2 linked regions of the Arabidopsis thaliana genome follow. The protein of the gene in region 2 purifies or fractionates together with the protein of the main gene of each other region. This does not show direct contact. Each region holds a gene or a part of one and is shown on either strand. Other genes may lie near its edges. The genes, in order: POP2 and MSD1.

Evidence for each region.
Region 1: the proteins of MSD1 (region 2) and POP2 fractionate together in Arabidopsis thaliana (co-fractionation; one large-scale study listed by BioGRID). This does not show direct contact.

What each region holds. Positions count from the first base shown.
Region 1 is NC_003074.8:7,833,404-7,839,474, reverse strand, and holds POP2 (Pyridoxal phosphate (PLP)-dependent transferases superfamily protein), read right to left. Parts: upstream 4,332-6,071; 5' UTR 4,190-4,331; coding exon of another isoform or gene 4,145-4,189; 5' UTR 4,019-4,144; coding exon 3,947-4,018; intron 3,734-3,946; coding exon 3,633-3,733; intron 3,536-3,632; coding exon 3,451-3,535; intron 3,375-3,450; coding exon 3,302-3,374; intron 3,200-3,301; coding exon 3,102-3,199; intron 2,954-3,101; coding exon 2,861-2,953; intron 2,768-2,860; coding exon 2,694-2,767; intron 2,607-2,693; coding exon 2,568-2,606; intron 2,481-2,567; coding exon 2,392-2,480; intron 2,319-2,391; coding exon 2,242-2,318; intron 2,154-2,241; coding exon 2,079-2,153; intron 1,978-2,078; coding exon 1,930-1,977; intron 1,813-1,929; coding exon 1,729-1,812; intron 1,648-1,728; coding exon 1,560-1,647; intron 1,478-1,559; coding exon 1,399-1,477; intron 1,255-1,398; coding exon 1,161-1,254; intron 1,078-1,160; coding exon 999-1,077; intron 896-998; coding exon 780-895; intron 692-779; and 4 more. Other genes in the region: AT3G22210 (uncharacterized protein), read left to right, coding at 44-139, 227-340; IQD5 (IQ-domain 5), read left to right, coding at 5,963-6,046.
Region 2 is NC_003074.8:3,415,771-3,420,482, forward strand, and holds MSD1 (manganese superoxide dismutase 1), read left to right. Parts: upstream 1-2,169; 5' UTR 2,170-2,244; coding exon 2,245-2,539; intron 2,540-3,017; coding exon 3,018-3,064; intron 3,065-3,144; coding exon 3,145-3,270; intron 3,271-3,381; coding exon 3,382-3,438; intron 3,439-3,557; coding exon 3,558-3,635; intron 3,636-3,718; coding exon 3,719-3,811; 3' UTR 3,812-4,122; downstream 4,123-4,712. Other genes in the region: AT3G10915 (Reticulon family protein), read right to left, coding at 331-497, 675-744, 848-989, 1,086-1,266, 1,607-1,686, 1,819-1,934; AT3G10930 (uncharacterized protein), read right to left, coding at 4,458-4,712. UniProt on the Arabidopsis thaliana protein: Destroys superoxide anion radicals which are normally produced within the cells and which are toxic to biological systems.

The sequences.
Region 1 (6,071 bases), 4.4 Mb from region 2:
GAGCCTTATCCTGAAAGTTTGGTTCTGAGAAGAAGAGAAGAAAATGGAAGGGATAAGCCATATCGCACTCCCTGTTCTTGGAATCGTCGCAGTCTCGGTCGTAACATTCTATGCCGTTAGCTTTGCCGAGATCAGAGAGGTTCACTGTTATGAAACTACTCCTTATTCTCAACATTTTTGATCTTTTACATATAATTTTAAGAAAAAATCAAGTGTGTGTGTGCAGAAATCGTTTAAAGATGTGTACGACTCGGAGAACGAAGTTGGGTTCAAGACTTCTCTAAGTTCAAGGGAGAGAAGATCAAAGAGAGAAGCAAACAAAAAACGTCCTAAATCTTGATTCCAAAAATCACCATGATCCATGATCGTTTTGCTTTTCAATGTTCGTACAAATAAACAATTCAAAAGAGTTTGGTTATTGTTAACTATGGCTGCATTTTTGGTTTAGTAGATGATCTTGATCACATCGTCAGATGTTGTCCCATTATTGTTTATTCCTCATTAAAATGTACTTATTTAAAGACTTGTTGTGTGTTAAAAAAAAAAACAAAGGATCCAAACTTTGAGAATCTAAAAAACATTTTTCATCAACATCATTTTGACTCTGCTTTTCACTTCTTGTGCTGAGCCTTGAGTTCTTTTACCTTCTCTTCCGTTGCCTTCAATGCTTTCCCATAGATAGAAATCAACTATAAAAGAGAGAGAGAGAGTTTCAGTGAATTGGTCACAAGATTTAGCAGACAACAGCAATATTTATGTCTCAAGATTGGGACATTTACCTCATCAATCTCTTCAGGTGAGATAATGAGCGGTGGAGACATCAAAATGCCATCACCTGCAACACGGACTAACATCCCGTGCTTCTGGCACTCGGCTCCAAAGAATGCGCCAACACCTGTAAACATCAATTGAAACAATGGTGTAGAGATTAGTATGGTAAATGAGTTTTGGAGAAGAGAGACTTTTTAATGTTTGGTCATGAGAGTGATTTCTTTTACCCCATTCTGGTGGAAATGGTTCGTTCGGAGATTTATTGTCTACAAACTCAGTCCCAAGAATCAAACCTGTTCCTCTTGTCTGATAACCATCACAAAATGTCCTCAGTCAAATAATTCTTATTGAATAAAACTGGTAAGTAAAGGACCAAGAGAAATGGTAACCTCTCCAATAATAGGACTACCAGAGGCAAACGCTTTAACTCCATCTTGAAACCTTGGGGCAACTTTGGCGACATACTCTGGTATGTTCCTCTCCCTGTAATATGAATATGATCGTCACAAAAAAGTGCAGTAAGAATAGAGAAGCGAGAAACTTAGTCAACTGTGTGACAGGTTTTGATGTTTTTGGCAAATTACAATCTAAAAACTGGCTCACTTGTATGCAAAGTGACAAACTTACTTGTATATCTTTAACGCTTCAATTGCTACAGCACACGAAACTGGATGACCAGAATAAGTAAATCCATGGGAGAAAACGCCTGAAATAGAAACGTTTTCACCAGCATATTAAGATCAGAACATTGGAATATAACCAGTGTGAACATTACCAAAATACTGTACCTAGCTTGCTGCTATGAGAATTTATGACATCTGCCACTTCTTGGCTCATAAGAATGGCTCCAATCGGCATATATGCTGAAGACAGTGCCTGTATATTGGAAACATTTACAACTTGTCAGGGGAAATTTGCCAACAGAAAAAAACTACTAATCATCTTGCAAAATCTCACCTTAGCTAAGGTCACAAGATCTGGCTTAATGTTGTATTTGTCACAGCCAAACATTGTCCCGAGCCTTCCAAATGCACATATCACCTTAAAGACCAAACAAAATAAAAACAGATAATGATAAATCTTCTTCTTGATGGATACTTGGGGTCATGATCCTGTGTGGACTGATGGTAAACATGGTTCAATAAGACATGCACATACCTCATCAGCAATGAACAAGATATCATATTTCTTAACAACAGCTTGAACCTGCAGTACAGAAAGAGAAAACACACTCGGATAAACAAAATGAAACGGCAAAAAGAGCCCAATATCATGCTATCAGTACCAACAAAGTTTCCGAAAATGACCTTTTCAAAGTAGGTAGCAGGTGGAGGTATCACACCCCCAGCACCCATGACTGGTTCAGCTATAAAAGCACCAATCTATTAAGAAGACGCTTTCTGTTAGACTAATCTGGTTCTGCTAGTAGCATAAAGACAAGAATTTTCGTAAGTAACTATAGAAGTTTACAGTTTCTGGTCCTTCTTTGATGATTAGATCCTCTAAATTCTTGGCTAATCTGGTTGAGAACTCCTCTTCCGTTTCGCCTGAACAAGCAATTCAAAGGTTATAATAACAGATACTTTTACTGTTTGAAATGGCAGTGAGGATCATTCATACCTGGAAGATGAAAACGCCAATAATGAGGGCAATCTGTGTGCAACACAAATGGTGCAGGTAAATCAAAATTTTGGTGTAGCGGGGGAAGGCTGGAACAACAAACTAACTTTGTTAGGGAAAAGAAGGAATCTTTAGCACTTCTAGAAAGAACATATGAGGAACAATATTTATCCTACCCGGACAAACTTGCTGATATTAGAGTGGAGCCATGGTACCTGAAATGATAACATTGCATTTGTAAACACTCTGAGATCTTATAAAAACAGACAAATGGAAAAGGACAAGCAAAAATCATTACTCACGATTTCTTTCTCGCGATAAACTTTTTCTTCTCGGGCCTTCCAAGTGCGTTATTGTAATACCAAACCAGCTTGACCTGCATTATATATACAGGAAATTCATAAACAACTCTTATAGGTCGAAAACTTAGAAAATACGAGATCAAGGTTTGAAGTATAGTTATGGAAACCTGGGTATCGTTGGCATCTGATCCACCGCTTGTAAAAAATGCTTTGGCCATTTTGTTGGCCGTGAACATCTCTAAAAGAACCTTAGCAAGATCCTGTTTAGTATGAAAACATCACATTGCTCAAATTCTCTTTGATATCTCATAAAGTATACTGCTCTGAGTCTTAACAGGACACAGAGAGTAGCAGGAAATTGTAGGAAAACATTATAAAAATGACACCAAAAGGGAAAGTCTGGAGTACCAGAGAAGGTTTAGTAGTACGGTTCCAAAAGGAGTGATAAAACGGCAAGGTGTTCAACTGTTCAACAGCGGCAGAAACAAGCCTTGGCTCATTTCCTCCTGCAAGGTTTTGGGTTAACAATGAGGGTCAGAATCAAGGAATACCAAACTGCAGAAAAAGAAACATCAATTCATGTTTAGTAGTATTAGAAGGAAGAATACCTAAGGCAGTACACCATAAACCAGCGAGAGAGTCAAGATATTTTTTCCCAGTATCATCATACACATAACTTCCCTGTAAGAAAAACGTCACACTTACACAACTGTTTGACTCAACATTTACACTATGAAAATGAGATTTTGACATGTACCTCAGACTTTGCAATGACCAAGGGATCTAAATCAGCACTCTGCCATCCAGCAGTAAAAGGTGCAAGCATATCATGCCCTTTAGACCTGCTCAGAATAAAAACATCACCACTATTCATGTCTCGTTGACGACGCTATAAAGCCTTCAGAATACAACGCTTAGAAGCATTAAAAAATAACTCACCCAACAGTGTTTTTCTTCTCAGGTGCTGCCTCAGTAGTGAAAATCCTCCTGGAAGTGGAGTTCCCAGACATGCAAGTGGCATACTTACTGTGCAAATGAACCTGCCATTAGAGTAAAAATATTAGCACTATAAATCACATCACTGTTTTTGGGTTAGGATATAATGATCTCCACAGAATTTTCTTCAAATTTATCTCTTTGTTATAAGAAGATTATCATTCACAACAAGAGATTTGTTCCACTTTATGAGAAAAAGTTTGTTCCTTGATTACTGGAGAATCTCAGAAAAGTATATACTCTCGAAAAGACATGACCTTTTTCATCCTGATCCACGTCAATTTGGCGTTTTGAAAAAAGATTAGATTTTTATTTACAATTGTTGGCATATTCAATGTTATTCTGACTCCTGATCTATTAAGCAAAACATTCGGGGAAAATTATGATGATGCAATCGAGGATCATGTATGTGAGAATAATGAGATCATCAAGCGAGTAAGAAGAAGTGGAAGAACCTGAGTGGTACGCGCCAAGCGTCGGAGACTGTTGATAACGACCATTTTCTCCTACAACGGATCGAAGAAAACAGAGAGAGAGAGATTGTTAAAGAGAGGATCAAAGGAGAGGAATCTGAAGAATCCTGGATTGTTTGAGAGGGAGAGCTGAGATTGGTTACAAAACAGAGGATGATGAATTGATGATGATGATGCCTTATATCTTTTTATTTATTTAATCTTTTCGAGTTCCATTTGATTTTTTCCAGTGACGTGTCATTGAGTCATTTTCTTAATATTATTTTTGATTTATTTTATTTTAAAGGGAAACAAATCATTTTGCTGCTCTCTCACAGAGATAATAATAATAGGTTGTAACTGGTGCAGTAGTAGCAAGGGAAAGAAAAAACAAATAAGAGGCTAGTTGTATATAGCAGCCATACCATAAAAATATCAATTAAAATTTTATTATATTTTCTGCTGAAATAAATAAAATGGAGAAATATAGTAAAAAAAATCACTCCAATTTGAAGAAAAAAAAATTATGTCTCGATGTGGAACACATTTTAATACACTTCTTCCCTCGCGTTTAGAAATGGACATCTGAAACGTTAAGGTTATGGGACTGGACATCTATATATGGTTCACAATCGAGACACATTAAAACTTTAGGTTTATAGCATATTAGTATGAGCCTAACTCATACTTAAAAATTACTTCAAGTGGAAATTTTACCATATATTTATATATTATTCTATACATAAATAAAATTTTATGTAGGACATATTCTAATAACTTTTCTTTGTGTGTTTGTTTTTATCTTTTTATTTTTCATTTACTAAATAAAAACACCAACTAGGCCAACCCAACTAACAGAAAAAGTAGCCAAATTTGATGGCATATTTCAATTTCTAAGGAGGGATAGTAGGAAAAACTGGAGTAAAAATTATTTTAATATACGAGTTTCCATAAGATTATTACATAACCATGTGATAGTTGTTACGTCTAACAAAAGTAAACGAAAAAATAATAATTATCTTTAATTTAGATTAAAAAAGATACTAATAATGATCCAACATTACAAAAACTAGTGACATCATATAATTAGGTGACACGTCAACTTATTTTGTCTTCTCCATTCAAAATATCAGACTGCAAACAAGACTTACACACATAAATGCATGCATTAATTAAAAAAGAGAATCAAACATATTTCAAACTAAAACTGCGTGCCGTTTCGAGGTCAAAAAACGCCGCCAAATTGAAGAATAGAGCACGCGTACGGCGTGCAATCTAATCTATCATTCAATCAATCGTATCTGAGAGAGGAGAGGGAAAACGAAACGATCAATCAAGTCAATTCCTATCTATCTGTATATGTTCGTTCACACACATATCCCCTAGAGAGAGAATAAAGTATGGACCTTTTTCTTTTTGTAGAGTAGAGAGAGAGAGGAAAAAGTAAAGTAGCCGAGAAAGACGCTCACTGACTGAAGAAGAAAAGATCACGAAGTCGCCACTCACTCTCTTTAAAGATCTCATCGGCGATCTTTCCTTCGCCGCCGGTGTAAAGTTTTTGAATTTTGCTTCTCCTCGATGTGTCTCAATTTTGCAAAGTTTGGATTTTTTGTTAGTGTTCATTACTAAATTTCTTGGTTTTAATATTAAGGATCCAACATTGTCAGGAGAATTTAGTGAACTCAATTAAAGTTTCCATTTTTGTCTATTTTGTTATCAAAAAGGAGAAAGCTTTACTGTTTTGAATAATTTAGTTGCTAAATTGGCAATTTTGCAGGTTTTGTGTTGTTTTATGTTGCTGATCGTTGGAATTGAGATAGAATGGGAGCTTCAGGGAGATGGATTAAAGCATTGGTTGGTTTTACTAAATCTGATAAGTCTAGGTCTTCCAAGAAAGATGAAAATGTGAGTACTTCAAAGGAAGATTATT
Region 2 (4,712 bases):
TTGTGTAAGTGAGGTTCTTCTGTGACGTGAACACGTGACCTAACATTCTCAGCATATGGGCATTAAAGTTGGGCTAGTCAAATCCATCTGAAATGTGAGTATTGTTCTGCGCCACGACGTCGTTTAACGAACAGCGGTGTTAAACTTTTTTTGTATTTTTTCCTCCAGTGGTGTTAAGCTTCAGACGAAGGCAAGAGTTAATTTAGTTGAACAAAGAAACCATCTTATATTCATTCTGGATATGGCGTTTAGTTATACTACAAATGGTGAATAACAAGAAAAGCTAAACAAAAACAAGTAAAAGCATTCTCAGAATCACCAAAGTTAAGCTCATGAATCTTTATCCTTGGATAAGCTCCATGAGAGTCTGCTTATAACATTTTCGTCTACTATTTTGTAGTGGTGAGACAACCGCCTGTGAATCGTCCCGCAACACTTGTCTACTTTGCTTTGATATTTACTGTACAAAGCCGGTATTGTTACAGATAGGATGGTCCCTGTTCACACCATAAAAAGTATAAACTTCATATAAGAATTTGGTTCACTGAGTTTAAAACAACAATGTCGCAGGAACTAAAACGAGATCAACAAGCCAACGTGGGGGATGAAACTGAAGGATCAAAAAACATAGAAGCTTTTTCCTTTCATTTGCATTTAAGGATCAAGTTACTAACCGATGTAAAGAAGAGTGCAGAGAGATATATAGCTACCAATGGCAGAGAGAAGCCACAGACAAATCACCACCTGCTAAAGAAAAATCGTCAGACCAACAGTTCAGATGCTTAACGGTTCCCATGTCATTTCACTCAACATCATCGTGAGTTTCTGAATGGGTTAGCTTCATAACCTTGAAGAAGAGTCGAAAATCGTTGCCAACTGTGACATCATGAGCCATTACAAGCAAGTGATTGAGTTTTATACGGAAAGAAGCTGCAGCACTATTCACCATTTCCTCTGATAGAACAAGCTCTGGCAACGAATGCAACTGTCTGCTTATAAAGAGATAACAGGTAGAAATCATCACTAATCAGTCACATAACAGCAAAGAATTAAGAAAAAGAAGACTAGTGAAAAGTAGAGCGCACCTATTCCTAAAAGCAGAAACCCGGGCATGAACGAATGATATCATGATCACGATGAGTAAGACATCCGAAGAAACAGATAAGAAAGGCAACCCGGAAAACTCGAATATAAGCCAGGCTACAGTTGATATAATGATAACCCCCAAAGAAAGATGTCGCCTCCTCCATAAGAGCAAGTCAGCAGCTACATCAAAGAACAAAGCCATACAAAAATCACAAACAGTAGCTTTTTGCTGGACCTATGAACTCATCATGCGTATCCAGAGATTTGAATCAATCAATTTCTCATTCAAAATCAAACCTAAACCTAACTTTCACCTGCCAAGTTTTCCATTTTCTACTATACCCAAAATGCTAAATGTACTTACACACATGACGATTTTCACAACCAACCAAAATCAGAAACCCTAACTATTCCAACTATCATCCCCAATTTGAATTTTCTGTTCTGTAAATCCGAGAAAATTCTCATCACAAACTACCAAAATGATGAAAAAACACAAATTCTGGAAAAAAGAACTCGCCTTTGCCACCACCCATGAACTGATGAACCGTAATCTGCCGACCCAACAATCGATAATCCGATGACGATCCTCCTTCATTTCTTCCATCGAAATCACCATCGATATCACTTAAACTATCCATCGGAGAATTAAAAAAAAAAAACCGAATTTACACAAATTCTCCGACTTCCAGGTTCCTATTTCGATCTCGCCGACTCCGATTTGAAATTTACCTTAAAGATACGATCTCAGTACAATGGTTTGTGAAAGCAGCTAGATTGATGGGAGAATGACAGCGATTGGGTGGATTATCAAGGAGGAACCAAATAGAATTGGCTTTCACATGCATCCAACAAATTCAACATTTGGAAATTCTCCGTTTCTAGTCAACTTTCTTCATTTCTTTATTTTTTTCCTGTGAACAAACAAAAAAGTAACATTTAGCCGTCACAAAATATTAAAAATTACGCTTTATTATATTAAGGCCTTGGGCTCACTAATCCAATATTACGGCCCATAAATAAAAATCACATGTCTACGTGTCAAAACAGTCACTTTTCTCTATACATGACAGGCAGTGATATTATCATAACCCTCCACTTATACACATGTTCATTTTTGGCGACCACTAGAAGGAGAAACAAATCTTCATTCCAACAATGGCGATTCGTTGTGTAGCGAGTAGAAAAACCCTAGCCGGCTTGAAGGAGACATCATCGAGGCTATTGAGGATCAGAGGGATTCAGACTTTTACGCTTCCTGATCTTCCTTACGATTATGGCGCATTGGAACCGGCCATTAGTGGAGAGATCATGCAGATTCATCACCAGAAGCATCACCAGGCTTATGTTACTAATTACAATAATGCTCTTGAGCAGCTTGATCAAGCTGTGAACAAGGGAGATGCTTCCACTGTTGTTAAGTTGCAGAGCGCCATCAAATTCAACGGCGGAGGTGTGTTTGTGTGTCTGACTCTCTTTTTTTTTTTTTTTTACGATCTCGATTTCTATGTGTTTGATCGATTGGTTTGTGTTTAGATCGTGTTTGGATGATATTAGCAAATGAAGTAGTTGATTTAGGAGAGAAATTTGGTTTGAACAGTGAAGCTGATGAGTAATTTTGATGAATTGGGATGAAACTTCTGTAAGAATCAATGAAACTTTTATCGGTAATGCAAGCTTTCTTAGATAGCTACTTTTGTTTGCTGGGTCTTGAGATCATAACCAGTTGATTTAGTATAGAACTTTTGTTAGGAACATTGAAGCTGTTGATTAATTTTGATGACTATAGTTTGGTATTAGGATTGTTGCTTCTTGAGCTCCGGACCGGTTGGATTGATAGAAGAGAAATTGGCAGAGAAACTATTGGAAATAAATTGAGTTTTTTGTGTGCTAGAGAATGGGAATTGATCGACTTTATTTCTAACGTGCAGGTCATGTCAACCATTCGATTTTCTGGAAGAACCTTGCTCCTTCCAGTGTGAGCTTGTGTTTTGAGTTTCTGTGTATTTCTTCGATTTTGTTGTTCTGTAATTGATGGTTTGTTTTAATGTATAACAGGAAGGTGGTGGAGAGCCACCAAAAGGATCTCTTGGTAGTGCCATTGACGCTCACTTTGGCTCCCTTGAAGGTCTGGTGAAAAAGATGAGTGCTGAGGGTGCTGCAGTGCAAGGCTCAGGATGGGTGGTCTGTAGTCTAGTTTCACCTTTTTATTTCATCTGCTCACATTGTCGACTCTGGTGCTTTACGTATAATAACCATGGTCCTTGATTCGCTTGTTTCTGTTGATTAATTCAGTGGCTCGGACTAGACAAAGAACTGAAGAAGCTAGTTGTTGACACAACTGCCAATCAGGTAACTTATCCATGATCAGGAATGCGCTATTGAATATGTTCAAAAGATTTCTTGGTACTCATGAACATCTGTGAGAATAATGGGTTTTAAAGAAAAAGAGTTTGTTTCGGTTGGTGCAGGATCCATTAGTGACAAAAGGAGGAAGCTTGGTACCTCTGGTGGGTATAGATGTTTGGGAGCACGCCTACTACTTGCAGGTAACAACACTTTTGATACCTTAAGTCTCATGAGTTAGCTTAAAAGATTAAGCTCTCTAATCAATCTGTATTCTCTCATTCAGTACAAAAATGTGAGGCCTGAGTATCTGAAGAATGTATGGAAAGTGATCAACTGGAAATATGCAAGCGAGGTTTATGAGAAGGAAAACAACTGAATCGTTTACACGATGACATAAGGAGATGAACCAGTTCCAGCTCAGCTTTTGTTTTAAGGTTGTCTGAAACAAACTTACAGTGTCTCTTTGGTTTTTAAGATTTGCTCAACTCAGCTGTGTGGTACGTTGTTTTACAATGAAAGTTTTCAAGAATAAAAATTTGCTATTATTGTCAGAAAGCGCTATTGTTTATTCTACGAAGAAAACAAAACGGAATCTTATTGGTATAATAATTACCTCATTTCAATAAAACAATAACTAATTTTCTCGTTTTTCACTACTCGACACATATATGACAGGAATATTATAACGAAGAAATTTGGGATTAATGAAATTTGTGAAATAATGCATACACACTTGTGTAATAAAAATGCATTATCTTTGTGTCTGCGTTGTGGAAAATGGATCATAGTCAAGTCTCATAAAAAACGCGTTCAATTCAATTTATACATATTTCGCCTAACTTTTGATTCTTTACGCCTTGGCCCCATTCTTATCTTTTAATTTTATCTCTTTCTTGGAAGTTACCCAAACACTAATACAATGTCAATTCAAATGGTATCCTTGACTCTTTTATGCGTTTAACTTAAAAGACTTTCTTAGTCTAAATAAAATTGATACATAATCATAGAAATTAAAAAGCTGATTAACGTTTATCAAAGAAATATTGATGAAACGATACAAGATGATAGTCTAAGTCTTGATCATTTCGACTTACATTACCAAATAAAATCCTCATTTTTCCTAAACTTCTACTGTAAATTTCTGTAATACATGTAACATTTACAATAATCTCTATTTGAAAACGAAAAATCAAAGAATCTCTAAAGAACAAAAAAAGAAAGAAGTAAGAATTAGGACAGAAAACTCTAGAAAGAATAGTGCTAAGTCTTGACGTCGT